Linked DNA regions of Caenorhabditis elegans. The protein of the gene in region 1 interacts with the protein of each later gene in a pairwise test. Each region holds a gene or a part of one and is shown in the gene's direction. Other genes may lie near its edges.

Region 1 (7,152 bases):
TTGTTTCACGCTCTTTTAGCCACAACAAAACAAATGTTTCTCATTTTCGACCAGTTTTTTGTGGAATTTATTTTCTTTAGTTTTTCAACTTCCGAGTGTTTTTAATTTGTTTTCTCCTGATTTGTTAGGATTTTTTAACTTTCAAAATGAATTTTTTTCTGCAAATTTCGGACTGAAAAAATACAAAAACATTGCAATTTTTTTCTTAAAAAATAATATTAAAATTAAATCCTAAATTGTAAATTTTACATGAAAATTAATCCAAAAAAAAGAAAAGTGTTGCCAAAATTAAATTGTTATTTAGATTAAAAAGAGGCAAAGATTTACCCCACAGAATTGAAACCGGTTCCGCAGAAAAATTGCCCAATTAGCGATGGGTCAAAAATCGCATCTGATCGGGTTGTTTTTGTTCGTCATGGGTACCCGCGTACCTGTGTCTAGACAATATTTGTTTCGGAAAAAAATTAGTGAAAAAAAACTTGTTTTGTGTTTCTAAAAAAAAGTGTTTCTCATAAAATCTATAAAATTCTCAAAATGGAAAAAAAGCTCTGTTAAAAATATATTAGTTAAAGAAAAAAATTTAAATTGCACGAAAATAGTTAAATTTCTTTAAATTTCTAAAAATCTACTCTGAAAAATAACCTGTTTCCCTGAAAAAAAATTCCAGAAAATTTCCAATTTTTTTCTCTCAAAAATGCTTTAAAACTCCGAAAATACAAGAAACCTTCTAAAATATTTTTTTAATATTGGAATATTTTCAAATTACACAAAAAAAAATTAAAAATGAATTTTGTTCGAAATTTTCAGAAAATCCAATTGAGCCTGTAAAACCTTTGTACACGGAAAAAACTCTAAAAATTTCCAAAAAAAAATTAAGAAACCCTTTGAAAAATATATTATTTTCCATTAGAAAATTTTAAAAATTTTATGAAAAATTTTTTTTTTTCAATTTAATTTTCTAATTTTCGAATTTTTTCAAGTTCTCAAAAACTTCTATGATATTATTTCTGAGCTTTCCGAGCAACTTTCGCAATAAAAAGTGACGTCACTCAAAAAAAAGTAGTTTTGTATTTTGTATATTTGCTGAATCACCACTGTTTTCTGTTCAAATTTCATTGGTTTTTTTTTCTCTTTCATTTTTCACGTTTTTCCATTTCTCTCCCCTACTTTCTCTATGATTCAAACACGTTTTTTAATTCAACAAAAAAAGCGAAAAAAAGTGTTGTTTGGCCTTAATCATATGTATTAAATGGTTACCATGGTAGCTATCGCAAGTAGACAGCTGAAAATCTTTGATTTCTCTGCGTCTCTCCTAATTTTTTGATCTTTTCCGTATTCCGGCCACGCAACCCTTTTGTTTGTGTAGTTAGCTGGCTGACTTATGATTTTTTGGAAAACTGGTGAAAATGTTTCGCCCATTTTTTCATTGAAAAACCATTCTTAGTATCTACTTTTTAGTGGAACCTCTGATAATATGATAAAATGGGTATATTTTAACTAAAACCCTAAGGGTATACATAATTCCAAAAACGTTATTTTTTTAAACAAAAAATTGCGAAGCACCAAAATGCTCCGTGAGCTCAATATGGAAAACACTGAAACCTAGGCAATATGGGGCTTAAATCAAAGCTCTTAAAAAGCTGAACTCAAATTCGTATTAAAAAAAAATTTAGTGATTGTGAATAAAATAGAAAATAATGTGGGTAATTTCAGACAAAATGGGTATATTTTAACTAAAACCCTAAGGGTATACATAATTCCAAAAACGTTGTCTGAAATTACCCACATTATTTTCTATTTTATTCACAATCACTAAATTTTTTTTTTAATACGAATTTGAGTTCAGCTTTTTAAGAGCTTTGATTTAAGCCCCATATTGCCTAGGTTTCAGTGTTTTCCATATTGAGCTCACGGAGCATTTTGGTGCTCCGCAATTTTTTGTTTAAAAAAATAACGCCATTGTTAATTTTTATCATAAAATTTTTATTATAAGTTCAGCTCCCTTAGAGCGTCAATTCAAGCCCCATATTGCCTAGGTTTCAATATTTTTCACGTTGAGCTCGCGAAGCATTTTGGTGCTCCACGGAAGCATGAAAGCGGAAATTTTCAAACTAAAGTAATCTATACAATATGGATGCCAAGTTTTCAAATTTTTAGTGAATTGAGCAGCAGGATTAATTACGATTTGGAGTGTTCTGTGCTCACGGAGCAACAGAGCCCTACATTAAGTTTGAGGTAGCATAGGCATTATGGGTGTCAAACTAAAGCTTTCAGCTAGCTGAATCTAGCAAGATTGAGCCCACATCTGAATTTGGTGCTCTGAGAGCCAGAAATAGAGGTTGTTTTAATCAGATTTAAAATTGTCTGTGCCGTGCACAAATTGCTTCTCCTTATTCCCCTCTAATCATTGAGTTGTATGGCGTCATTGAACTTTTGATATGTAAAGCTTTTTATTATGAAATTTGATTTCAGCTTTCAGGAGCTTGAGAGCCATATTTTCTAATTTTAAGAATGTTTAAGACTGAGCTCAATTGGTGCTCCGCGAGCTGAAAGCTTTAAAGCTGAAGTTTTGTAAATTTAGATCAAATTCGAAAACATTTTTGTGCAAGCTCACGGAGCATCTTTTTTTTCACGTCACGTGAATCACTATGCTTACCAGATTGTAGCGCTGAATTGTATCAGTTCCTGTTGCTCCGCGAGCCCATAAAAACTTTACTATTTGATTCTACAAAAAGTCTAGGTGCCCCAGAACTTTCCTCCTGCTGATTTTTATCTTGAAATTTTTTCTAAATCTACTGTGCTTTGTTCATTTTTCAAGTGTTTTTTTTTCAGAAAATAACCATGCAGCAACCAGTAATAAACCAACAACCGGGCTACAACCCACAGGGTATGAATCCAGTGCAACAATTCGAAATGCATCAGCAGCAGCACCAACAAGCAATCACAACTCAGCCAGGTGTCTTTGTGCAGCCGGCTCCTGGCTCCGTGTGGATGCCAATGCCACCAGCAATCCAAGGTGTGCCTACAGGCCTGGAGTATCTTACCTACTTGGATACAATCATGGTGCATCAAATCAAGGAGCTCATCGAGATTGTGACGGACTGGGAGACCAAGAACAAGTACGTGCTCAAGAATGCAAATGGAGAACAGTGTTACTACGCGTTCGAGGAGTCCGGATGCTGTGAGAGACAGTGCTGTGGACCGCAACGTGGATTCGTCATGCATATTGTGGATAACTTTAAGAGGGTAAGCTCACGGAGCATCTGGTTCAACAAGCTCGCGGAGCAATCCTGAGCCCAAATTTTCAGGCCTACCAAGCCAAAATTGATCCACATGCTCTGAAATTTCAAATTTTCCAGGAAGTTCTGACCATCAAGCGTGAGTTCAAGTGTTGCGGAGGTGGTTGCTGTGGATGCTTGGCATGCATCGGATGCTGCCAGCAGGAATGTATCATCGAGACCCCATCGATGGGTGTTCTGGGTATCATCCGTCAGCGGTGTGGATGCATGTCGTCGAATTATGATATTATGGATGGAGATGGAAATGTGATCTTCCAGATTGATGGTCCATGCTGTTGCATGCTTTGCGGATGTCAGGATAAGGAGTTTCCGGTAGGTGAAGTTCTAGGGTCCTGAGAGGTGTCGGCTGCAAGGTACATGCTAGCTTGTCTGATTGCAAGGTGCTGTGAAATGTCGGCCGCTAAATATTACCTGAGGCTGTGAATGTATTGAAAATCCCAAAATTTTCACCGGCCCTTTATCTGAGGTTTTGCCAGTGAGGCGTCGGCCGCAATTTACTAGGATTACTGGCCACCCGTAAAGTGTCGGCTGCTTGAACCACCTGCTTTGCTGACTTGTGCTGTGCAGCCGACACCTAGCGGCTTTGTCGAATAACCCAAGAAACAGCGGTTGCCGAGCAGCCGACACTTTGCGGGTCTGTCGGGAAGCCAGTGAGCTACCGGCTGAAGATCCTATCCCCCTAAAATGTCCGCTGCTTCAATACCCTCAAAATTTTCAGATCAAAACCGCCAACAACGGCACAGTTGTCGGCGCGATCACCAAAAAATGGGGAGGTTGCTTCCGAGAGGCGTTCACCGACGCCGACACGTTCGCCGTCAACTGTAAGTCGCCCCCGTCCATACAATCAATAATTCTTGCAATTTTCAGTCCCCGGCGACCTGGACGTCAAACTCAAAGGAGTACTGATAGGAGCCACGTTTTTGATTGTAAGTTTGGTTGCTGTAGAATTACTGTAACTTTGCTAATTTTTCAGGATTTCATGGAGTTTGAGCAACAGAGCCAAAACCGCAATAACGGAGGTTTGTGATTATCGCTTTTTGCTAACAGAAGTTTTTTTGTTGTGGAAATTATTGATTTTTGCTTAAATTATCAACTTTTGTCTAAAAAAAACTATTGATTTATGTGAAAATTATCGAATATTGAAAAAGGATTGGTGTCTTCCCTAAAATATGAATTTTCGTCCAAATTATTGATTTTTGGGATAATTATGGATTTTCGCTTGAATTATCAATTTTTTTTTGCTTTTTCAGTCTAACCGTCCGTCTGCTTAACCCTCTACCATTTGCTTTACATTTTTGCTGTGTTTTTCGGTGATTAGAGCATAATTTGGTATGCAATCCCGGTTTTTTGTCAATTGACCTTTTTTTAATTCCAGGAGCCTATTACAGTTCTTCTTAAAGGTACAGCAAGCTCCGCATGCTGCTGCCCCGATGGTTGTGATTGCAATTGTGACTGTAATTGTTAAAAGCCAACTTTTTTAAAAACGTTTTTCTTATTATTCCAACGCATTCTTCCAATATATGTATGACGTCACTTTCCTTCAGACTCCGCCCACATTTCCTTGTTAAGCCCCGCCCACTCTCAGGTCTCCAAGCCCCGCCCATTTCTTCTAGTTTTCAGTGTCTGTCCCACCCACTTTTTTCTCACAAAATTATATATCAAAAATAAATTGTTTTTGAAAAATCGATAATTCAAATAGTTTACTACATATATTGATTATTTAAAGTGTAAAATTCACGAAATGTGTATTTTTGCTCACTATGAAATGTGCTCCAAAACGCTTTGCTCCGCGAGCCCTTTGCTACAGGATCAGCTCTATTTGCAAAATTTTCAGGTTGAAAAAATGGAGCAAGAACTTCTTAACCCTGCTCCACCGGTTTACGTTGAACTGCAAGACCGAGCTGTTATTACAACTCAACCGGGAGCTCCGATACAAGCGGCTCCAGGATCCATCTGAATGGAAGCGCTCCCAGCAATTGAAGGGGTTCCCGCCGGCCTAGAGTACCTTGCATACTTAGATGAGATCATGGTGTACCAAGTGAAAGAGATGTTTGAAATATTTACCGGCTGCCCTAAAAACCAAAAAAACTCACAATCAAAAACGTGGCTCCAAGGAGCACAGCCTTGAGCTTGACATCAAAGTCGGCGGGGACTGATAATAGCCAGGGGTTATTTTAGCTTTTTTCAATTAAACCTACATAAGACGGCAAAAGTGTCCGCGTCAGTGAACGCCTCACGAAGTACACCACCCCACTTTTTGGTGATTGAACCGATGAGCTCATAGTTATCGGCAGTTTTAATCTGGAATTGTCTACGCAAGTGGCCATTTTCCTGCTGAAGATTCACCATAAAATCCTAATCTTCACAAAAGCATTGTGTACAACAGTCCGGCCCATCAATTAGGAAAATCACATTTCCATCCTTGTCCAAAACATTATAGTTAGTGGATACACAACCATGTCGTTGACGGACTGTACCCAGAAGACCTATTGAAGGAGATTCAATAGTACATTCGTGTTGACTACATTCAAATGATCCACAGAAGACACCTCCTGTTGTGACTTGGGCCTAACGCTTCCCCTGCGTCCCAACTTTGCAGATATATGACCGGTCAGGCTCACCCACTCGCCACCACTCATTATCCGCGAATACATTCACTCTCCGTTGTCCTTTTCCGTTTATTATCTATTAATAATAATTCCCTTTTGAATTACCGCCATTTGCGTATTTCCCGATGCAAGCGCGCTCCTCCGAGACCTCCCGTTACTCCGGAGCGTCGTAGCTCCGTAAATCCACACAATAATTCTATCCTACTTTTAGGCCAATCGTTCATTCTGTTCTACCTTCACCAGACGAGTCAGCGGCTACCCATCCGCAGACACTGTGATTCAGGACCTTTCTTCACCATTTCCATCCTGATAATCACTTTAATTCCTATTTATATCCTCTGAATAAACTGGAATTCGTCTGAAACTGTGTACTGTTATTCTCTCCGCACCGCTTATCACCAATGCCGCTCGAACATTGCTCCGTGTCTCTCCGCGCGTATCAGAATACGCTCGGTAGGGTGACTGACTCCCCTCTACTGGTCCCGAGTGTCAACATTGGTGCATCGACCGTTGCAGCTCTTGATTTTCACTAAAAAATCGAGCTGTATTAAGAATCTGGAGTCAGGCGGAGACACGCGGCGCGGTAGCGTGCGTGTAGAGTTAGTACACAGTGCATTTTTTACTACAAAATCCGGAACAGAGTATGTGATTGCGCGTCGTGGTGTTTACGGACTCCGTAAGTGCGCTCCACTGAACATAGTATTTTTTAATTATTTTTCGCTGTTATTTTTAATGTTTTTTTTGCCTTTTTCTTGTTTTTTTTGTCTTTTTTGTGAAAAAATTGAAATAAACATAATTTCTGATTTACAGAGTACAATTGTCACTTTGGAACATCCAAGAAAGCTAAGATCGACACGATCGAATGGAAAAAGTCGAAAAAGGTATGTTTTTTTAAAAGAAAACCCCATTTTTTTTCTCGAAGAAGTTTCTAATTTCTTTATTAAATCGTCGGTACGGACCTACTAATCGATTTAAAACACTCGAAACCTTCGGTTATTATCTCAGTCTATTTTTATTCTGCAAAAATATCGAAAATACAGTGAAAATCCGAGGTTTTTTGAAAAAAAATTGATTTTTTCTCGAAGAAGTTTCTAATTTCTTTATTAAATCGTCGGTACGGACCTACTAATCGATTTAAAACACTCGAAACCTTCGGTTATTATCTCAGTCTATTTTTATTCTGCAAAAATATCGAAAATACAGTGAAAATCCGAGGTTTTTTGAAAAAAAATTGATTTTTTCTC
Region 2 (6,461 bases), 3.0 Mb from region 1:
TTTAAATTAAATTGAAGAAAAGTGTAAAAATGTCAGTCGTGCAAACTAGTGTACTAAAATTATTTGACCGTGTATCGTAGTTTCACCAGATTTTTACATGCCTTTTTAAAGGCGCACGGATTTATTCAGAAAGGTCTCGGCACGCAAAATGTTTATGGTAATCTTTCTTTTTTTTTTGAAGTTTGAACATTTGGAGAGGCACCACGGTTTCAAGATCTGGTGGGGTTCCGGATCTACGTTTTGGTGCCAGATCTGGAAAACGTAGAACCGGAATCCACCAGATCTTGAAACCGTGGTGCCCCCATTTGGAAACAGATTTTTTAACAGAATTTTTTTTTAAAGCTGAAAACCGTGCAGTTTCATTGAAAAACGCAAACATTGAAGAAAAAGACTACAATAAACTTTTTGCGCGTCGAGACCCATCTGAAGAAAGTCGTGAGCCTTTAAAGAGCCATTTCAAAATTTGAAAAAAAAAATTACGATACCACGTAGAGTCAGGTTGTCCCATCACGGTGTGATCTACAATAAGTGCGGGTATTTTTGCTCAGAAAAGTGTGACGTCAGCACATTCTTAACCGTGCGACACCAGTTGGAAACTCTACGTCACGTTTCATTTTTTGTAGATCAGACTGTGATGGGACATTCTGACACCACGCGCGATACCGTTTTTGTGTGTTTGTCAATACCATAAAATTTTGCAACTTTAAAATATTTATCTAATTATTAAGTTTATGTGGAATTTAGGTGAACAACGTTCTGGCCACGTGCCGTCTTCCATTCGGAATCAAAATCGAAGAAGTCGCAGCAAAATATCCATCAGAATCCACATATGAGCCTGAACTTTCCGTTGGTCTTGTTTGGAGATCTGTGACACCAAAAGCTACTCTTCGAATTCATACGACTGGCTCAATTACAGTCACTGGAGCTCAATCGGAAGCCGATGTTCTCGAAGTACTCTCAAAGATCTATCCAATTGTTCTAGAATTCCGATGTCTCGAACGAGCCAAAGGAAATGTCGCTGCTCAGAAGAAGAGGAAACGAAAGGCACCTGTTAACAGAGGGTAAAAATTTGTAAAATTCTGGCTTCAATGTAAAAATAAAATAATTTTTTAGACCACCAATCAAACGCGAACGCTTTGATGACAGCAATTATAGAAATTCTGGAGTTATCAATAACCAGGTATGCAAATAAAAAGTGTTTCGGTGGTTTGAAAATAATACAAATTTAATTTTAAAATAACACATTTTTCTTTCAGGTCTATTTCTCTGATGAAGATGAAGATCTGTATGATGAGCTCGATTTAGAAGAATAGTTGTACCTAATTGATGCAGCCTACCCATTCATTGTAATTTTTAAAAAATCTCAATTTGCAATCATTATCTGATTACCTTTCTACATCATCTCGTCATAATTTCTCTAGTTTTAGCTTTCTATCTTCCAGTATATCTTGTTCTTTCAATTGTTCTGTGTGCTTCAAAATTCATGCTTTATCCGCTTTTTTCCTGTTCTTTTCTTTCTCTGTTTGCCGTTACCATCATCAACATCATAAGTCATCATCGAATCAACACAATCTCCTATCCATTTTTTTGTAAAATTAACACAATGATCAGAAAAACAATTCTCGCTTCCTTCTAGCTCTTTCTCTCTCCACATCCCACTATGTGCTCTCTACTTCATGTCTTCATCATGTTCCCCTCAAGCCCAGCAAATCTTAATTTTTCCTTATTTTCCATTATCTATTTTTCCTCATGAATCCCAGTTTTAAAAACAAGTAGCAGATTTTTTTTTGTTCTGAAACAATTCGCAAAAATTCCACAAAAAGTCCTTAAAAACAAACGAGTTCGTATTATAAAACTGTAACCTACCTTTTCCCAAAGTTGTTGTATTTCATTTTAATTATTTTAGAATGTGATTTTTCTACAATTCCCTTTTCATGATTCATCCTTTTTCTAGATTTAGTTATTGTCTCCCTTTACCATTTTTCTCGTTTTTGTCCATTAAATATGTTCATGATTAAATTTCAATGTCCGTATCTTTACAGAAGGTTTATGAATTTTTCAAAGTTACGAATTGTCAAAGAAACCAGAAAATCACAAAAAAGATTCAATTGAAAAAATAAAGAATTATTTACTGTCCAGTGTCCTTACGAGCTGTTGCACGGAACGCTCGTTCTTTTTCAAACTGGCGATTATCAGCTCGGTTTAAGAAGTCCATTTTGTTCAGATAACCGCCTTTCCCTCGGTTATGAGATTCCAAATCTTCCTGAAAAACAAACAATTTATTCAAAAACCTTAAACTTAAAGAAACATACTTTTAAATTATTTTGCGTCGTAAAATCTTTCCAATCTCGATCAGATTTCTCCAAAACAGAAATTTTAGAACGCTTCGACAGTGATTTTGCAGCATCAAGCAAGCCGACTCTTTTCTTTCCGGGTACAATGCTACTTTCAGACGATGTTCCAGCTGTTTCCGTTCTGAAAAAAATTATTAGAAAAATAAGAAAAAGTTGTTTTTAAATTTGTATCAAATAAAAACTCATGTCAACTCACTTTTTCGGATAAACCTTCTGATTTGTAGACTCGTTGGATGCAGATCTGTAAAATACATTTTTAAAAGTTATTTCTACTTGTTTCAAACATACGCTGCTGATTTTGGATACACCCTTTCTTCAGTTTTTGGAATATTCTTGCTTGATGTATCGTTGACAACTGGTTTCGGTGCTAGCCCAGTTAATTCTGCAAATATCGCATCCACATCAACACTTCCTTCAGTACTGTTTGCCTTTTCTGATGTATGGTCGTCACTTTGTTTTTCATTTTTCAGATGTTCAACTTCTTCGTCAATTCCATCTTCGCATTCTTCTTGATCATCGATCTGTTGAGGAGAATGAGCAATAAAAGGGCGATATCTAGGAATGCTTACTTCATCCTTTGGATCAAAATCGGTATCCTTTGTTGGATCGTAATCTTCATCGGACGATGAGTTGTAGTCTTCTTCGTTATTTTTAAGCTCCGAGGTCATTTTTCTGAAACAATTTATATTTTAAATAGTTTCACAATTTCAGTGAGAATTCAAAAGAATAAAATATGAATTAATATATTTATAAAATATGAATTAATTTATATTATAATATTATCTCAAAAAAAGTAGCGCGAGATAATTTTTCTTATTGAAGTACGCAATTGTGCGTGGTATTCAGTGTAAAATTCGACGGAGCGCACATGCTTTATGATGACTTAGCCGCCATTTTTGCATTTCATTGTCGAAATTCACTTCCTTTCATTTTTTCAAAGCACTCCCTTCAAAAACTTCATTTATATTGTTTCAGAACCAAAATGAATGCTCACGACGAAGTCCAGCGCACACTGTAAGTCATTAAACCTATATTCGTTTGAATTAACTCAATTTTTCAGGAATCCTACTTGTACCGGAACATCGGTTATCGCTCTCCAGTATAAAACTGGGGTTGTTGTCCTTACTGATCGAGTTGTTTCCTATGGAAAAATGGCTCGTTACAAGGTTTGAATTTCCGTTCAGCTGAAAGTGGATTTTCATAATATTTGTTTCCAGAATGTTTCTCGTCAATACAAGGTCAATGATAATGTTCTCATTGCCTTCGGAGGAGATCACGCTGACTTCCACTGGCTTCAAAATGTGATCGAGCGTCAGGTTCTTCTCTGGAAGCGCTTCGATCAGGATATTGGACCAAAAGCTCTCCACGGATACCTCACAAGCCTTCTCTACGCCAAGTCTGTTTTCCTAATTAAATTGAAAGTTTAAGTAAAAAATTTCAGACGTTGCAAGATGAACCCAGTGTGGAACACACTTGTTGTCGCCGGAGTCGAAGAGGAGGAGAAGAACAACAAGGAGACTAGCACACCTTTCATCGGTGTCATTACTCAGAAGGTAAACTTGAAAGCGTTAACTTGCCGGATCAGAATCTCATGATTAAATAATCACATAATAATTATTCTAAATTTCAGGGATGCGCATATCAAGTGAAGCACATTGCAACTGGACTTGGAGCGTTCCTCCTCAACCAAGCTGTTGAAGATGAGTGGAGAAAGAAGGGAGAAGACCTCTCCCGTGAAGAGGCAGAAGCCGTGCTTCGCAAATCGCTTGAACTTACTCTCTACCACGACTGCGTCGCTGACAATGAGTTCGAAATCGGACGTGTTGATGCGACAGAAGGTGTCGTTTTGGGTAAAGAAGAGAAGATTATTGGTGACTGGTCGATTGCCGAGACTAACTGTCAATATGAATAAGTTTTCCCCGGTGTGCAGGATGCGTTTCAGTATCTCCATGTTTAACTTATTTGTATCCTTCTTTTCAAAACATTTTACTCTCTCCAACCCACGTTTTCGGTGTAAATTTTATTTATTTTCGCGTGAAGTCGATAAATAAACTTCCATTTAATCCTTCTATTCACGTCTAAGTATTCACACGCATCATTTCACAAGTGCTCGAGTCAAAAATAGCGAGCATGAATTTCTCTGGTTTAAAAAGTATGATGAGTTTTTGGTTTAAAGTAAAATCGAGCGCTTTCAGGTAAACTCCAAAAGCTCAGTTTATCACCATCGCCTGATAAACAGAAATCTGATTATGAAAAGAAACAGGCGAAGAAGATGAGCTACAAAAAGAAGATGCAGCAGCGGTATAAACTGAGTGATGATCAGTATGAAACTCACAAGTAATTAAATAAATTGATGTATATGTAATAACTTATCTGATTTGGTTTCCAGGAAGGATGCTCAGAAACAACTGAAAAATTGGGAAGAATTTCGAAAGGAGCAAGTAGTTGAAATCTTTCATACGCAGTCTCAATACGTTTCGAAATCGAAAAATTCAGACGTGGTAAGCATACAGTATATATATATATATATCTCGCCGCGCAAAGGAAGTGCTTAATTACGGTTTTTACTATCCATCTAAAAAGTTAAAAAGAAATACATTATTTCTTGAAATTCAGCGCCATCCAAAGATGCAACGAGCCAATACGGTTGTCAATCGTCAAGGAGTGAAAGTTGATGTAGAATTTGGACGATTGAAAGAATACTACTTATCCACTTTGGCTCCACAAAAAAAGTTTGTGTCGATTCGTGATCACGTAACATAGAGATTATAGAGAAATTTACTTTAACCATGAACTTTAGGCAGCTCGTGAAAAGGAACTGGACGCTCTTCGTAAGAAACAGAAAATCAGTTTGGAGCAAAGGAAAGATAAACAGGACAACATAAAAAAGTCCCAAGCAGAGTACGATCAGATGAAAAGGTTTCAATGGGTCGAATGGTTTTATGTAGAAATTATCATATTTTAGCTTATACGCTGCCCCTGTCGATCCCAAGCAAACAAAAGTGGAAACAATGGAGCAAAAAGAAGTTTTAGAGCCAACAGCCCCGATGGAGAAATTCGGTAAAACTACGAAACAATACAGAAATCGGAGTGTTTATTTTCAGTTGTGAATACCACTGACGACAAAAGAGCCCTGTTCCCAGCCAGTTGGTATCAACAACCGATTTCCCGTTCGCAATTGAAGAAAGGAAAGATGATTTATTGGATGGCAAAAGACGAAGAGTAATTTTCGTGGCTTGCATCCGTTGGATCTTAATATTTGAATTTCAGAGAGGATATGACGTTGGACGATGATCCAGAGGGAAAGTACACGGTTACTGCTGAAAAGTTGATTGAGACAATGACTGCTGGGGGGAAAGTTAAACATGCTGGAATAACAGAACCACCTAGCAACACAGCAAACACCATCATGTCCGAGTCCTTGGCATCAATTAATGCGAGATACAAGAAGAGTTGTGAAAGAAATGCTGTTTTCATGAATACCTTGCACGGTACTATTGAATTCAACAAGAAACAAGTATCTGTAGATAAAACCCTCTCTACAAGTTCAATAAGCCAGGATGATGCGACCGAGTAAGAATTTCGAAACTGATTTTTCTCTAACGAGTTTTATTTTTAGCGCTCCGAATCAAATCATTTTTGCTCCAACAATCACTTCTCATGTTTTCAAAGGCCGATCTCTGAAAAGACAGTATGCAGTGAAAAATAAGGCACTTGAAACTTTTGAGGAAGATCGGAAGGATTACACTCGAGAGGCTGGAGAAGAAACTAGTGGATTGTAATTTTTTGTATTGAACTAGAAAAATAAAGCCTTAATTTCTTTTATCTAACAAACGTTGAAGAAAAAACACATATTTTCACAAATGAATATGCTTATCGATGTATTAAGCTTCGAGGGCAGCGAGTCTCTTCTTTTCGGCAACCTTAGCCTTTGTATCCTTCGAGACATAATTGGCTGGAACAATGTACCCGAAAATGTAGCGACGTCCAATCATTTCTCCGACAAAGAACCAAAAGACTACCTCGAGGGCAACTGCCGAGTAGACGAGACTTTCCTGAAGTTATTTTTTATTGAGTGTTGTTTCAGCGTGTAACAAATTACCTTGA
Region 3 (6,839 bases), on another chromosome or scaffold:
GGGCTTTTAGAAGGAGTAGAGCTTTCCGTGTTTCTACCAAACGGAGTTGTAACTTCAGAGCTTCCAGTCTCTACATCTCTAGTGTAGTCGGCGTCATTAGGCAGTCTAGGCTTGGAAGAAGTTCCAATTCCACCACTAAGCTCTTGAGGTCCTGGGCGGATGGTTGGATTTACAGTTTTTCCATTTCCATTTTCAAAATCCCGAGTTGATGATCTAGGCCTTTCTGAGGGAGATGTAGATGGCTGTTCATAGGATTCCGTGTTGCTCGAAGTAGTGGAGACTGTTGAATCCGGATAGGAATTTGAAGACGGGGACACCTGAGTCTGTCCTCCATATGGATTTGGGGGCTCGTAAGGTATAGTAGTGGTGATAGGGTTGGCAGAGGGACTGTGAGCGACGGTTCCTGAAAAATTCTTTCAATTATTTTAGCTCGCTTCTTCCTTAAATACCTGTATACGTTTCCGGATTGACCGACGGTTCCATTGGCTTCTCGGTTGTCACAGTTGGTCCATACAGGCCATAGCTTCCTGTTGAAACTGGCACGGGCGGTCCAGCGGGTCCCGGATAATACGGGTACGCTCCAGTAGTTTGTCCTGGCGTGTCTGGAATCCATATCATCTGCACTGGATACTGCTGCCAATTTGGTGGCAATGGAGGTAATCCCTTTGGAAATTGGCCCTTGTTTGGAGAATTCTCATAGTAACTGGTTTGAGGGCTGCCGGGTTTTGGTTGAGGGCCAACCCAAGCGAATGGTCGGAAGCTTCCACCAGATGTTAGTTGATGTGGAGGAACTTGTTGATATGAGATCTTTGGAGATGGTAACGGTGGAAGACGTTGACGAGGTGGACGGTATTCCGGAATCGAGACCTGCTCGGGACGTGTGTAGTAGTTCGGTTGAGCACGCTGGAATAGAAAAAGTTTATGTATTTTTACTTCAAATATAGAAGTGTTTGATTTGAGAAATAATGTTTTGAACAAATCATTACAGATATTTAAGAGACCTCAAAACTTCGCGGAAATTGAGAAACGTTGGAAAACTTCTACAAAGACATTTTTGGAAATTTTTTGGTTACTTAACTTGGTATATATAGGGTTCTTGACGACTTTTGGAAGTTTTTCAAACTGTCTTACTCAATCGAAAAATTACCAGGTTTTCTACCGGTGCCTGAACATTGTCGAAACCGAATTTCAAAAGCTTCAAAAGTTTTTAAATTTTGACACCTTCCGTGTAAGACAATTTATGACGTCACTGCTCTTAAGAGTTTTAACCACAATTACTGTTTTTTGAGTGAAAATGTGTGACCAGTAAGGCATGAGCAGCTGTTCCAAGTTGTTTGAATTAAAATACTTTTAAAATTAAAAAAAACTGGATTTCTCGGTATCCCTTTAAATCTTATAGTTAGTCCCCCTGTTTTAAAATTCAATATACCAAAAATGTTTAGTTCAACACACGAGCCTCAGCTGGAGCGTTTTATTTTTCAATTAAAGTTTTACGAATGCTACTATTTCACGAGAGAAACCAGAATTTACAAAAACAATTTCTGAAAAAAAAACTCACCTTCGCCAAATTCGAGTGTCCCTTTAAAACTTCGAGATTCGCATTTGGATTCGGCTCAGAGACGGGCGTCTTCCATACGGGCTTAACCGCAATAATCGGCCCAAAAACCGCGAAAATCACGGGGAAACATGAGAGTAAGGGCCTCATCAGGCCCACGTTTTAGGCCTCTAGTTTTTGTCCGAGATTTAGGAAAACAATACGGGAGAAAACAAGAACAACAGGGAGGCAAAGAAGTGAGGAAACGGGTGAGGGGGGAGAATGGACATTCCAACATTATTAGATCGATTTAAGCGATATCGTCTGGTTATGATCGACGGAAATCCCTTTTGAATAGACGCTTTTTAAGGAGGGGAAACAGAAATGAAAACTGAGAAAATCGGGAATGAGGGAAAGTGACGGCAGGAAATGAGACTAAATTGGTCATCGATGTGTTGAAATTCTGGATTTTTTTTCGGTTTTGAAAATCTGCTGAATAGAAGATATTTTATTTGAAACAACACAGTTCAGTTATGTTATCGAGAAAAAAAATTACTGAATATAAACTTTACACTAGAAAGATGAAATTAAACATTTTTGCGTCAAATTTTCAATTAAAAATAATTGAAAACTAAACTTTAAAGCCGTTGTAACACCTTATACAGCAATTTTTTATGCAAAATTTTTCACAAATATTTGTTCAATTAATACATATTTATGTTTGAAAACATTAAAATTTTCCATGCCAACTAGATGTACTAGTTGACCACCAGGCGCGCCTCTCGATTCTCTCCCGATTCCGTTTTCTAAAGACCAATTCTAACACCGCCGCCGTGGCCTCCTTAGCTCAGTTGGTAGAGCGTGAGACTTTTAATCTTAAGGTCAGGGGTTCGAGTCCCCTAGGTGGCTTGATTTTTTTGTTTTTTTTTTCATTGTTGAAAAATTGTTTCTTTCTCAATTTTTTTCAAAAGGAATGGGCCGAACCGGGGATTGAACCCGGGACCTCTCGCACCCAAAGCGAGAATCATACCACTAGACCATTCGGCCACGAGAGACATGCTTCACGGAGGTATACACAATTGAGAGGAACAGAGATAGCGCTGGCCAGAGGAGAGTGTAATGCAAATAAACGATTATGGGGAATGAATAATAAATTGAGAATTTAATTCTGTTTTACTTCAAACTTATATATTTATTTCAAAAATAACTGAACAAACATGAATAACTCTGATTAAGAACCAGTTTTCCTCCATCATGCTCAACAAACAAACAAAAGATAAGTTGATTTATCGGGTCAATGAAAAATGCAAACATTGTAAACTTTTGATTAGGATTTTCAAGAAAAAAAAACGTGTCTAACTAGAAACAAAAGTGTAGGTTGGTAAACAACATGAAAAAGTATAAAAGTGGCAAGAATTACACGGGGTATACTCACAGAATCCCATTGAGCGATGCGTTGTGTGATTATATTGTTTGCAGTTGCTTTGGCTGTGGCTCAGGTTAGTTTTTCAATTTTAAACTAATTGTAAGGAATTTGAAAATTTATAATTTCTAAGTGCTGAGAGAAAGCCTAATAATTGTATTTTCTTTTCGCAATTTCGTGTTAACAAAACTACTTGAAATGTGAATTGGCGCTTTAACGACTGTTTTTGAACCTCTTCGAATTTCAATTTTCGACATCATTAACTGAAAAATCTCCTTTTTTAGAGTAATATCTGTATTCCCGTATATGGAAGTAGACCGACCCTGTTTTAATGTGGGCCGATAAAAATCTCGTAGTGACGTTTAAAATTGATAGAAGCATTCCAATTAACGACGTGTTTCTCAACTCAATTTGATTTCAGGCCTCCTCAATCCGCGAAACCCGTCAAGCCTCCTGCGGATGTGCTCAATCGGTTCAGCCGACCTGCTCCTGCCAGCAGGCCTCACAACAATACAGCTGCTCCTGCCAACCTTCAACTCCATGCTCTTGCGCCAGCAGCCAGCAATATCAATTGCAGACGTCTCAATGCATGCCTGCTTGTCAACAGTCCTGCAGTCAACAGTGCCAATCTAACACCAACACTCAATGCCAGCCAACGTGTCAGCAATCCTGCCAGACATCGTCTTGCAATCCGATGACTTCCACACCAATTCCAGCGTCGCAAAGTTGTCTTCCAGAGTGTGAGAACCGATGCATGCAGCAGTGTACTCAACAGCAGACCGCGCAACAGTGCCAGCCAATTTGTCAGCAGCAGTGCCAGCAGGAATGTGGGTCCACAGGAAATATGATGTACAATAATCAGGATCCGTATAATCAAATGCAGTATGGAGGGTACAATCAGCAAGGAAATCAGTACCAGAACCAAAATCAGTACCAAAATCCAAACCAGATCCAAAATCAGTACAACCAGAACCAGTACCAAAACCAAAACTACTACAACCCTTACCAACAAACTCAATGCCAACAACAATGTGCTCCACAATGCTCTCAACAAACTTCCACCAACTGCCAGCAGTGTCAGAACTCCTGCCAGAACAGCAACACTCAAACCATAACCATCTACGTGCAAGCCTCCCCACAGACCTCCCAATGTGTTCCCCAGTGCCAGCAACAATGCCAACAGCAGTGCCAAACTAGAACCACGGCCTCCCAACAGTGTGCTCCAGCTTGCTCGACATCCTGCAATCAATCCTGTAATCAGCCGGCCCAAATGGCATGTCAACCAATGCAAAATAGTCAGTGCGGATGTCAACAAAACTATTCGCCGTGCGGAAATGTCTCCGGGCAGTGTTGTTTGAAGAAGTAAAATTCTTGAAGATTGTATTTCTGTAAATCTAGGAAATGATGAATAAATGTTTCTCACTACCAGTTTTTTTGTTAAATGGGTCCTTTCAAAAGTGCTGAAGCTAATAAATTTGGTACCTGGTATTCACACAACATTTTTTGTTGAATGGAAAAAAGGTGGATGTACCTTTAAAGAGTACTGTAGTTTCGAGCTCTGTTTTTCAGGAATAATCATTTCGAGACCCGGAAAAACAATTAGAAATATTAAGAAAACTATTGTTGTATTGAAATTATGTTGATAAGATTTTATAGAAGATGACCGAAAATGTTTTAAAATTTATAATTGATTAGTATTTTTCGAATTTTTGTTTTCAGAATCAAGGAAAAATCGAAAACTCGACCCACTTGGTCCCTGTTGTTTGTTCTGCTACTACGTAGTAGTTGAGTGAGAGCAAGAAGAGGTGAAAAGTGCATTGAGAAAAAGAGACAAAAAGTTACCCCTTCAAATGCATATCGCTACATATATATAAATAGATGTCCAACTTTTTTCGCACTTTTCAATGAAAAGAAGGGGAAAGTTTATTAGTAATTTTTTTGAATTTTGAAATGTATATTTTTAGGTAGGAAATTTTCGATTTTTTAAATGAAAATTTCAAATTATTTTTTGCTTTTAAAACTATTTTTTGCAATTTTTCTGTTACATAGACTTCGAATTGAGAGCGACATATTTTTCTGAAATTTACATAAATTATTCATCAACAAGTAGCTTTTCATATTTTCAAGACATCTACATAATTGTTTCGAAAACAAAATCCCAAAAAAAAGTACACCTTTCAAAAAATGTGACGGGGCCTTTTCTTTGTCTTACAATGTGTTTTGTTCTCGTTTACTCAATTAGTGAAAGTCAATGACTTGTTGAGACTCTGCAACTAGTCACAATACTTTTCCGCGTTTCACCGAATTTCTATGAGCGGAGCAAAATTGAGTTTTTACTTTTGAATGTGTGCCGGGTGATTTTGGACTTTTTTTTCTGGGGATAAATATTTCAGCACTTTACTTATTTCTCGTAAATTCGAAGGAATTTCCAATTTTTCGCGAAATTCGAGTCTTTAAATTTTAATGTCCCGCAAAAAAATGGAGCAATCAACTCCCAGTTAAGCTGAATTTTAGTTGTTTTTTATGTAGTTGTTTCCCTCCAAAAAAGCGTCCACTCCCACCCATTTCCCCAATTTGTTCAGCAGAACTTTTTTTGTTTCTCCTCTCTCAAATGGTGGTCCGTCTTTTCAAAAATTCCCATAAATCGTTTTGCAGAACCCCGGGGTGTTTTTGTGAAAAACTAGAATTCGAGTGACTTTTTCAAGTAGTTCTGGTAAGAGGATAACGGAGGGACAAGGAAATAAATTTGAAGGGGAGCAGCACACTTGAATTGAAACTTTTGGAATTTAAACTAAATAAGAAGACAACGAATTCGTATTCTATGAGAGAGATCAAGCTTTTGAATATAAAAAACTAGTTCTTGAATAAGTTGCTCCGTTTTTTGGGGCATTTTTTGAATTGTAAAAAAATTTAAAAATCCGAAAAGTTTCGTGTTTCGCTGTTCAAAGTGACCTCCCTTCTGTTTTTCTTATTGAATACTCTCAGATTATTTATTTTCCAGATTATTTAAATTCAAACTGTGACACTTTTTCGATTTTTTTTGTCGACCTCACCTATTCTAGTGCCAATTCCAAATTCTTCCTTGTCCTTTTTTGGGAATACAAAAACATTTTAATGGTTATTTTGGCAAACATATTTGAAAAGAACATGTCAACCAATTCTTGAAGTCGTTGACATTTTTATGCATTTTTCTCCATCCTTTTACATATTTTTCTTCCATTTCCTTCTTGAACCAATTTCTAACTCCATCTTGACATGGTCTGCCAAATCTTAACCAAACAAATGTTTACGCAAATCATTTGGGTTTTCAGATAAATTATTTTTGATTTGATTTTTCAATTTTGTAAAAAAAAAGTGAATATTTAAATTCCCGCCCGAATGTGCCTACGCTCTCCGCTATCCGATTTTTCGATGTTTTCAGAATATTTCAATTCTTCTTGAACATTTTTTTTGAAAAGTACCTCAAAATTGTTTTGAATTTTTATTCGCATCTATGAAAGTTGATAGAGAAATGCATATTTTCAAAACATTTCTCGACTTTTCAAATTTTAGTTTTCAGCAATAATTACTATTCCGAAACTCTGATTTTTTCCAGCTGAAACCCAAAATTTCCAAAAATTTTGGAACATATACAAATTTATTTTATGGCCCTCATACATTCTCGGATCCCATTAAAATGTTCCCCCATAAATTTTTCCCACAACATTTTGTTTCACTGTCTGTACCTCTTCCGTCTCTTTTTTCATCAACCTTCTTTTTCAACTTTTATCTTTTATCTTATCATCTTACACCTAGCTTCCATTCTCTTTCTCTCGGGGATATACGTCTGCTCTTTCATCCCCAAAATTTCTTTCTATTTTCCTACTTTATATCAAAACTCCT
Region 4 (9,134 bases), on another chromosome or scaffold:
TTCAGTCGTTTTGGATCATTATAAGTGTATTTAGACAAAATACACACTGACGCTACTCCACCTTTAACGTTTTTACACAATAAAAACTTTGCACGGTTACAAGCCACACATTAGTATAAATAGTCCTGCTCTGATTTTTTGTGAGAACAGCTTATTTTCAAAACAGTTTTTGGGAAAATCGTCAATTTCAGAGTAAAATAATCTAATGCGTTTTTATGAACAATGGCCATCAAAACAAGCCTGGCTTAATTGTAATTAGAGAATATGGTAGCCATATGGTGATTGTTCAGATAATTTCAGCAGAGCGCATTTTATTTGGTATTTGAAAGTTGACTGAAATAATCTAACACGTATGAACATTATTTGTTTTCATCATCAATCAGTTGTTCATTTAATTATTTAGGAAATGCTATCTTCAGTGCTAATTCATAAAGTCATCGTTTTTTTCCTGAAAAACTTAATAACCATTTTTCCCTCCTCTTGATTGATTTTCCATAGGCATATACGTTTTTATTATCGTACGTCATTTTTGTTGCGCCTTTAGGGTTTGGCTTTTTAAGACCATGTACGACATTAGTGATTTTAAGGTTACCTCAGAATTCATGACACGCATTCTACTTTTAGTTAAACATGACAGGGACACGATTGGAACTTGCTGATAACAATTTATAGATACTTTTATTATGCGACCTACGGAACGATCACAACAGCAACATGCGTTTGGGTTCTGCTTGGTAAAAGGGAAAGTTTTATGGCAGAAACGTACCTAGGTTCATATTTGCTTGAAAAATATTTCAAAACAAACGGAAGTAAGCAATAATGATGGCGTGTCTGAAAGCAGTTTTAATATATATTTGAAACATTTTCTTTGTTATACACACATCACTGAAATGTCTAAACTTCAACATAGTTTAATTTTTTTGGAAATAAATGTGCAATAATTTATTAGAATAATTATCATTCAGTAAAGTTTTTCACCAACAAAGAACATGAGCGAAATTGCCCAAACGATCAAATTAATAATAATAATTTAGTAAAAATTGTTAAAATGCATTATGACGGATAACATTTTAAAAGAGGCTTTATCTTATCTTGTATAATAAAACACATGATAGTTTTATACGATAGAGTAACAGTAACAGTTTTTGTCAATGAACAAATTTTACAGAACAATTTTTATAGAAAGTTTAATTTTCCAATTATTTGAATGTTGGTGAGTATTGTTTTTTCCAACCTCTCAACACCTTTTAATTTCGAAAACAGAATTAATCACCATGAGTGTCAGGGTTCAAATACACCGGTTTCTGAAACAATTCATGTCAAAAATTGAACGAAACCATTACAAAAACTGTGATACATATGACGCCATCAATCTTCGTGTTCACCTCGTTTTACCTCACTAACTGACAACATCATCACGTCGCCTTTCTTTTATTCTTTTCACTTACTTTCATCACTTTTCATCGTTTCCATCTCATGACTGTTAAAATTTACATCGTTAGTTGTTTATTGGTTGGTGCAGTGTTGTCGCAATGGCCGTATGCCCCAAATCACTGGTATGGAGCAAATCAGGTGAGCTAGGTAAACATCAACAATTTTTATTGCTTAAAAATGTTTTTTTTTTTGAGAACATATAACATTTTTGCTTTGCAGGGAAATATACGGTCAGGAATAGTTCCTGATTACAACCCTGTCCCTAATGTCCAAGGAGGTACATTAGCTCCACACATTTGCGGATTCAACACTTTTACAAGGTACGTTAAGATTGCGTAAATTATTTGAAAAAAATATTTGAGAGAAGTTGACACTGACAGCAAGTTATTAAGTTTTTGTTCTGCAGAAAATGTATGGATCCTGAAGGATATTGCCCTGGCAAGTGCATGAACTTCCGTTACACCTACAACACTTTATACGACTGCCGATGTCTTGCGATTTAGATGCGTTTTTCTTTTGAATTTTGAGTTTGGTTTTCAGTTTTAAATGTTCACCCGACCCTCTGTGTATTTGTATATTTGTATGTATTTTTTCATTCCACATTGTTGCACATGTCTGGCTCATATGATTTGCGTATTCGTAATATAAGTGTAATAAATTTTTGTGATACGCTAAGGGATGATGAACGTAAAGAAAATGCTGCGGAAAAATCAAAAAGTGACACTTGTGACGTGGTCACATGCAGTCTGGGATAAAAATCAGAATATGAAATGAGTGTAAAATCTAATTTTTGTTTAAATTGGAGACTGAAAGTAGAATAAACCAAGAGAAGTGGCACATTGAATTTCGGGGGGGGGGGGGGCAGTTTTTTAAAATTACTTTCCGATAATTTGTACTCTCTCACAGTATTTTTGATTCTTACGGCTGCATAATTTCGATTGAGTTTGAAATTGCATTCAGCGTTGTAATGTGCCCAACTGCCAAAATGAGACGACTGGTTTTGGATGTATTTTTTTAATACTTACAGTGAAATTTTTAGTGATTTGATATATTTTAAATCATAAATTATTGTCTCCATAACTCCATTTTATTCACCCACAACTGGTAGTGATTAAGAATGAGCTCTTCACATTTTTTGTAATTCCACCTTAATGAGTCACCGCCTATCAATCATATAATCTTCATACTTGCTTCATTCCAAACTCTCTGCTTTGCTCTTGTCTTGCTCACTTCTCAGCAGAATCTCATGTTTCACCTGAACTTCTTCTTTCTTCGCTTCTCACTGATTCGTGGAAAAAATTGTCGCGTGTGCTTCCGTTGCCCATACCGCTTCTGACTTGCTCTTATCTTTTCTTTGCTTTTCTTTTTCGTTTTTCGCCTGACACATCAGCCACCAAGCTTTTATTAAAACACGAAGGATATGATTTGTTCATCAGCACTTGTCAGCAGCTCGCTCAAATTTCGACGTTTCGGATGCATGCTTTCCTGAAGTTTGCAACCTCGAAAAGCTCGCATGATATGGGTTTGTCAAGAAACCAAAAGTTTCGAGTTTTTGAGTCGATTCCTAGAATGTCATCAATCTCATCTTCGAACATTATAGTATAGTTTCCGAGCAACAAATGACCGCGGTGGACCTCCTCAAAGTGATTTTAAATTGAACAACTGTGCAATAAATAACGAGGATGAAAAATGTGTGCGAAATGTTGTGTTGTGTTGTGAAACGAAGAAAAGTGCCGAGGATAAAATATCACTCAAAGTGGAGTTGATGGATATGTGACGACATAGGGAGGAGAACTTATTTTGTTTAGATATGGGGTTTTAATACACCAAAAGACATATGAATAGGAACAACAAATTCCAATTTCAAACAGATTACCTATGAGAAAAGCAATTTTGTTTTTTTTTTCACTTGAAAGTTTGTATACTTTTTAAAATTAATTGTTTTTTTTTAATCTTTGCTACTTCCTGAAGGCAACATGACTTTCTGACCCGCACAGGTTTGCTCAATTCTGAATAATTTCTGTTTTGGTCTAGTATTTTACTCTTCAAGACTCGATCATAATCAATGCATACTCGCAGGCTTTGAGTTCGATTTGAAAACGTTCTCAGCATCCATTACTGCTTCCTGTTTCTCTCTAACTTTTCTGCTCACCGCACAACTCTTTTTGATCTTTAGCCTCACTTTTGGTTTGAGTAGAAGCGTAGAGCATTTTTCCTTAAAAAAAATAGAAAGAAAAGTTGATACCTCTCTTCTTTCCTATACTACAGTAGTATTTTCAACCCCCTTCCTCATTCTTTTTATCACTCCCTGATGTTTCAGCTTCTTCTTCTTCTTTTTCCTCTTCATCTTCTTCTTTTTCTTACCTCTCTTCTTGTTTCTCGACTCCGCCCAGTATCATCGTCAGTCACTTGTTGTGCACTCTCGTGTCCGCGGTCCCGTCCATTATCAGCCGCAACATGCAGGCTACTGTAGGCTTATTCGCCTTAGCGGTCTTGTTCTGCCTAGCCGACGCAGGTGAGTATATATGTTTATAGATGGAAACTGGTTTGAGGTTCAGCTTTCATTATGAGAGGGCGAGAAGTAAGGTGTAATAGGTAAAAAAATAAAGCATGAACCTCAAGCTTGTCATACACAAAAGGTATTACTAACAGTGAAGTTGATACGCAAGTGTAAGAAAAACAAGTTTCAGGTAGAATCTCGGTATCCAGAGGAAAAAATGTCACAAAAATTGATGATTTGTGCGCCAGAATGCACAACAACACTGCTCTTGGTAAGTTCATTGAATTACATCAGGTCATTTCCCCTGAAAAATTAATATTTTATCTCATCACTATAATTCATTAAACTTCTCTAGGTTTTAAAAACTGTATTGTTCTGAAAATCTTATTTTCCTTTTGAATATTATTGGTTTCTAATTAACATATGCGTTTCACTAAAAAATTGATACAAGTCATCTAAAAACTAGTATTTCTAAAATCATTGATGAAAAATAAATTATTGTTTTAGTTTCATTTATTGACAATTCACGCATTAGGTGTTTGCAGCAAAACAAACATAAATCAATTATCCGTCATTAACTTCGTGTGTGTCCACGTACCACTTTGATTATTTCAGAAGGATCATCTCCATTGCTGATGATGCAGGCAACCGCCTACGAGTGTCAGAAGAAATGCGTGGACATCTTCCCAGAGTGCTCCGCAGGTAAAATTTTCATTTTTGCACCGGATCCTATCCGGCCCAAGAAGATTGATGTGATGTGTCAAGCAATATCTATAACAAATGACACTCATCCGCAAATATCTCTTTTTCTGCTTCTTTAACTGATTGCTTTTGCAAATTTACACTGCCCCTCCTTGATTCGCAAAACTCCGTCTTCGAAATTTGATCTCTGCGTTTGGGGTCATGAAGACTAAAAAAACATTAACTTCACAAAAAAGTTCAACTTGTTTTCAGTGGTTTACTACTACTTGCATAACGAAACAAAGAAGCATTTCTGCTACCTCTTCTCCGACAACTCGGTTCAAGATAAAATTGACCTTGTCGAGCAAAAGCCAGAAAACAAGAAAGATATTGTTAGAATGCTCGAACTGGTCGTCGACTGCCACCAATTTGATGCTCATCCACCACTGGAGGAGGACGGTTTGGCTTCGTCTACCGATAAGGTTGACAGAAAGAAGAGACGTAAGATTTCGATCGTTACTTCGGTTTATATAAAGTTGTGATTTTAGAACAAGGCGATGAAGCTGTTGAAGGAGTCGGAGATTGGACAGATTGGTCCCATTGCTCCAGTAACGGACACGAGGTGCGCTCTCAGGCATGCGAATACGGAAGAAAAATCCAACGTCGTGGATGTCCAGCTAGATCTGCTCCACAAAGAGTCCCAGCTCCACCAGCGCAGCAGTATGCGCCACGTGCCCCAGAGTACCCAAGTGCACAGCAACAGCAGCAGCAAAGGGAACAGCAACAAAGAGAACAACAACACAGAGAACATCAGGCTCGTCTTCAGCAGCACCAGCAACAACAACAACAACAGCAACAGCAGCAGCAGCAACGTCCACCACAGCCACAGCCACAACCACAGCCACAGCCACCACAGCGACCACCACAACAGCCACAGTCCTTCTCTGGAACTCACGAGCTTCATCTTCAAAGGCAGAGAGAACAACAGCAGCAACAACAACAACAGCAGCAACAACAGCAGCAACGTCAACAAAATCCACAGCAACAGCCACAACAGACAACACAGTTCGGACAATCTCAAATCCAACTCCAAAGTGGGCCAGTCCCTCCACAACAACATCCGCAACAGCAGCAGCCACAGCAGCAACCAGAACTTGAGCGTTCTCCACTCGATCAACATGCTCAACTCTATCAGCAGAGAATGTCTCAATACCGCGAGAACTTCAATCAGAGACATCCAGCTCGTCCAAAGGCTGATCCATGCCCAGGAGGTTTCTGCGCCCCAGTTCCACAGGCCCCACAACAAGAACGCCCAACACCACCGCCAGTTCTTGCTCCAGTGATCAACACTGCCACTCAGCCACCACTTCCACAGCCCTACCCAACCAGATATCGTCCAGCTCCCCCACCACCGCCAGCATGCGATGGACAAGGATGTGTCAACCCACCAGTTGTTTCTGGAGTTTGGCATGATTGGTCTGACTGGTCTACCTGCTCATGCACCTGTGGAGATGGAGCTAAATCAAGAAGACGTGAATGCTCCACCAATAACTGCCAAGGAGCTGATTATGAGACTGAGCCATGTAATCTTGGCCCATGTCAGACATGGTCTGAATGGTGCGAGTGGTCAACTTGCTCTGCTAGCTGTGGATCAGGTCAACGCGAGAGAACTCGATTCTGTCATCTTGGTACAAACAGATGTGAAGGAAAGGACTACGAATCTGAGCAATGCAGTGCTGGACCATGCCCAGAATGGTCTCAATGGGAAGATTGGGGACAATGCTCTGTGACTTGCGGACAAGGAGTCGCAGTTCGTCAGCGTACATGTCTCGGAGGTGTTTTCGGTGATCATCTCTGTCAAGGACCAAAGACTGAACAACGTGCCTGTGATGGTGGACCATGCTCTCTTTGGTCTCCATGGCAAGAGTGGTCTACATGCTCGGCTTCATGCGGAAGCGGAATGAAGCGGAGACAACGTGTCTGCCAATTTGGAACTGATTGCCAAGGACCAAACGAAGAGAGCCAATTCTGCTACGGACCTCCATGTGCCGAGTGGACAGAGTGGTGCGAGTGGTCAGGATGCTCTTCAAAGTGCGGACCCGGACAACGGACTAGAACTCGTGGGTGCCTTGGACCAAACGGGCAAGAAGCCACTACTTGCCAAGGACCAAGTATTGAAACTACCCTTTGCGAAGGGCAATCTTGCTGCAACTGGTCTGAGTGGTGTCACTGGTCCATGTGCGACAAGGAATGCGGGGGTGGTCAGGTGAGATATATTGAATATATGTTCAGAACGGGGTAATAATGAATTACAGTCAATTCGCACTCGTACATGTTTGAACAGCGCTGGAAGTCCGGATTCATCATGCCACTGCGATGGACCAGATCGTGAAGAAAAGGAATGTAACAGTCAGTCATGTGCTCCTCAATGCGCTTGGAATACTTGGTAGTTAAAACTGTTACATTGGTATTAATTAGTTTTTTCAAATGTCCAGGTGCGAATGGAGTCCATGCTCAACACAACTTGCATGCGAAGTTGGAGTACAATCTAGGTCTGAAATAGTTTTTGATGAAGACATGTTAAGAATCTGAATTATATCTTACAGAAGCCGTCAATGTGTTGGAGAATCCGGATGTCACTGCATCGGTCTTGCCGAAGAATCCCAGCAATGCCGTGGATTGACTCAGTGCCCACCAAAGCCACCATGCTAATTTTTTGTGTTAAAAAAAATCAGTCAGACAGGGTTACATCGCCCATTTCTTTCATATTTATGTTTTTCAATTTGTACTTATATTCAATACTTTCATACAACACCGCCTCAAATAGTCGAATCTCTATATCTAGTCAATTAATTGTATTTTTCACGTCTTCCATTATGCAAATGCCTTTCAACGATAGGTTAAATTAAAGTTTGTTTTATCTTTGAAATTTATGTTTTAATAGCATTCACTGCCATAATTTGCATTTTCAATGTGGTTTAAATTTTTATTCTTAAATTCTACAATAAAGTTGTTTCACAGCCCATTGAATATAACATCAAAACATACAAGCCAGTTAACATTCAAACAAGCTTTCAATCAAAGTGTTGTACAGTTTCAGAAAACCACTCCTTAACACGAATTTTCATTAAAGTATATTGGTATTTATTAACCAAGTTTGCTGATTTATAGGTAAAACTAAAAATAGAATCAGATGCAGGTATACAATTATCAGTTGTTTAGACTGTCAGCAGAAGATAACATGGGATCAATGCTATTTTTAATTGTTATGTAGTATATGCACCCCTCCATTATCTAAATTATCTCCCCCTTCTAGGAGATTCATACAACTCATTGATTAAACATGATAGAACATATGTACTCGTTGTACTACAAGGGTGCAATACCCAATATTTCTTGTTGCCATCGTCAAAATCCTTCAAGAACAAAATCCTTTTCCTCGACATCTTCATTTGTGGCACATCTTACTTTCCATGTAGATCTTGAAGGATGTGTCAGAGTTTCCGATTCCTATAATAGTTTCTTTACTAAATGTTCCATATTTTCTTGCCCTATCTGAATTCAAAACAAGTTTCTCTTCGGCAATTAAAAAATTGTAATTTAAATTTTTTTTTTTCGTCACCTTTACTAGTGATTATTTTGATTTTTCCACCAGATTATTCTCTTAATGTGATGTTATAACATATTTTTCTACTCTCCTCTCGTGAAAGATTGACCAAGATCTCTTATGTACCCAATGTATTTGAAAAACGCCTATAAATAAATATGCATACATTGCAAACCGTTTGTTGTGGATTTTGGAGGGATGAATTATTTTTTGAACGTTGTTCTTCCGTTTAGCCCGTTTTCTTACAGGTAGTCACAAGTTACTCGCACAATATGGACCACCTCGTTGTATTATCGATTATTGGCCTCGGCGCGTCTATAGATTCGGTACGTACTGAAACAGTTTCAATATGCATAAAGAACATAAACAGTGTTACAAGTTAAAAAATATATAAATGATAAATTCTATTTTCAAACGGGTTTTTTCAGAAACGTGAGAAGAAAAATATTAGCGTTGGAAAAAAGATCGCATTCATAAAGCTTGGTTATTTTTGTACATACAGATATTTATTTTTATATTTTCAGACATCATCGTTATTGTCCTGAGGACAGGTTAAGATCTTAAACGTGATTCCCAAAGTAATATTTATTAAATAATAATAGCAAATACAAGTTGGTTGAATGATTGACTGAATGATTGAGGGGTGCTGCAAGAGGCCAAGAAATAGTCTTATATACGGAAGAGTTGATCGAATTATGTAAATGATGGGGCGACGGCGGTCATGAAATGGAAACCGCGGGAATAATACCGCGGGAATCATAAAACGGGGAAATCAAAGAGCGAGCGATTTGACATCGTTTTTGTAATATTGACTTTGGTTAATCAAATTATTTTTCCTTCCAGGCTTCCATTAATACATCATACCAGAGAGTTTGAATAATTACTTTTGAACTAATCGCTTTCCTGTTATTA

Evidence for each region.
Region 2: the proteins of scrm-1 (region 1) and pbs-7 interact in a two-hybrid assay, tested with the Caenorhabditis elegans proteins (2 studies listed by BioGRID).
Region 3: the proteins of scrm-1 (region 1) and pqn-71 interact in a two-hybrid assay, tested with the Caenorhabditis elegans proteins (one study listed by BioGRID).
Region 4: the proteins of scrm-1 (region 1) and T21B6.3 interact in a two-hybrid assay, tested with the Caenorhabditis elegans proteins (2 studies listed by BioGRID).

Annotation. Positions count from the first base shown.
Region 1 is NC_003279.8:11,686,511-11,693,662, reverse strand, and holds scrm-1 (Phospholipid scramblase), read left to right. Parts: upstream 1-2,832; 5' UTR 2,833-2,841; coding exon 2,842-3,246; intron 3,247-3,359; coding exon 3,360-3,611; intron 3,612-4,017; coding exon 4,018-4,120; intron 4,121-4,166; coding exon 4,167-4,225; intron 4,226-4,272; coding exon 4,273-4,318; coding exon of another isoform or gene 4,319-4,326; exon of another isoform or gene 4,327-4,549; coding exon of another isoform or gene 4,550-4,554; exon of another isoform or gene 4,555-4,674; coding exon 4,675-4,697; 3' UTR 4,698-4,981; downstream 4,982-7,152.
Region 2 is NC_003279.8:8,693,168-8,699,628, reverse strand, and holds pbs-7 (Proteasome subunit beta), read left to right. Parts: upstream 1-3,327; 5' UTR 3,328-3,336; coding exon 3,337-3,368; intron 3,369-3,414; coding exon 3,415-3,520; intron 3,521-3,571; coding exon 3,572-3,750; intron 3,751-3,795; coding exon 3,796-3,907; intron 3,908-3,984; coding exon 3,985-4,266; 3' UTR 4,267-4,424; downstream 4,425-6,461. Other genes in the region: tlf-1 (TATA box-binding protein-like 1), read left to right, coding at 745-1,061, 1,114-1,180, 1,257-1,313; F39H11.1 (Craniofacial development protein 1), read right to left, coding at 2,129-2,263, 2,313-2,475, 2,551-2,595, 2,643-2,875, 2,924-3,022; K07A12.5 (Pre-mRNA-splicing factor SYF2), read left to right, coding at 4,485-4,506, 4,550-4,691, 4,744-4,855, 4,971-5,108, 5,155-5,273, 5,320-5,414, 5,459-5,576, 5,625-5,927 and 1 more; asg-1 (putative ATP synthase subunit g 1, mitochondrial), read right to left, coding at 6,239-6,409, 6,457-6,461.
Region 3 is NC_003283.11:15,462,716-15,469,554, forward strand, and holds pqn-71 (Prion-like-(Q/N-rich)-domain-bearing protein), read left to right. Parts: upstream 1-2,961; 5' UTR 2,962-2,985; coding exon 2,986-3,033; intron 3,034-3,378; coding exon 3,379-4,323; 3' UTR 4,324-4,385; downstream 4,386-6,839. Other genes in the region: rocf-1 (ZP domain-containing protein), read right to left, coding at 1-403, 450-903, 1,559-1,705.
Region 4 is NC_003284.9:10,943,660-10,952,793, reverse strand, and holds T21B6.3 (Apple domain-containing protein), read left to right. Parts: upstream 1-3,841; 5' UTR 3,842-3,891; coding exon 3,892-3,949; intron 3,950-4,124; coding exon 4,125-4,205; intron 4,206-4,469; exon of another isoform or gene 4,470-4,533; intron 4,534-4,549; coding exon 4,550-4,636; intron 4,637-4,888; coding exon 4,889-5,116; intron 5,117-5,163; coding exon 5,164-6,881; intron 6,882-6,930; coding exon 6,931-7,061; intron 7,062-7,110; coding exon 7,111-7,167; intron 7,168-7,221; coding exon 7,222-7,327; 3' UTR 7,328-7,634; downstream 7,635-9,134. Other genes in the region: K09C8.7 (uncharacterized protein), read left to right, coding at 1,477-1,572, 1,654-1,754, 1,841-1,937.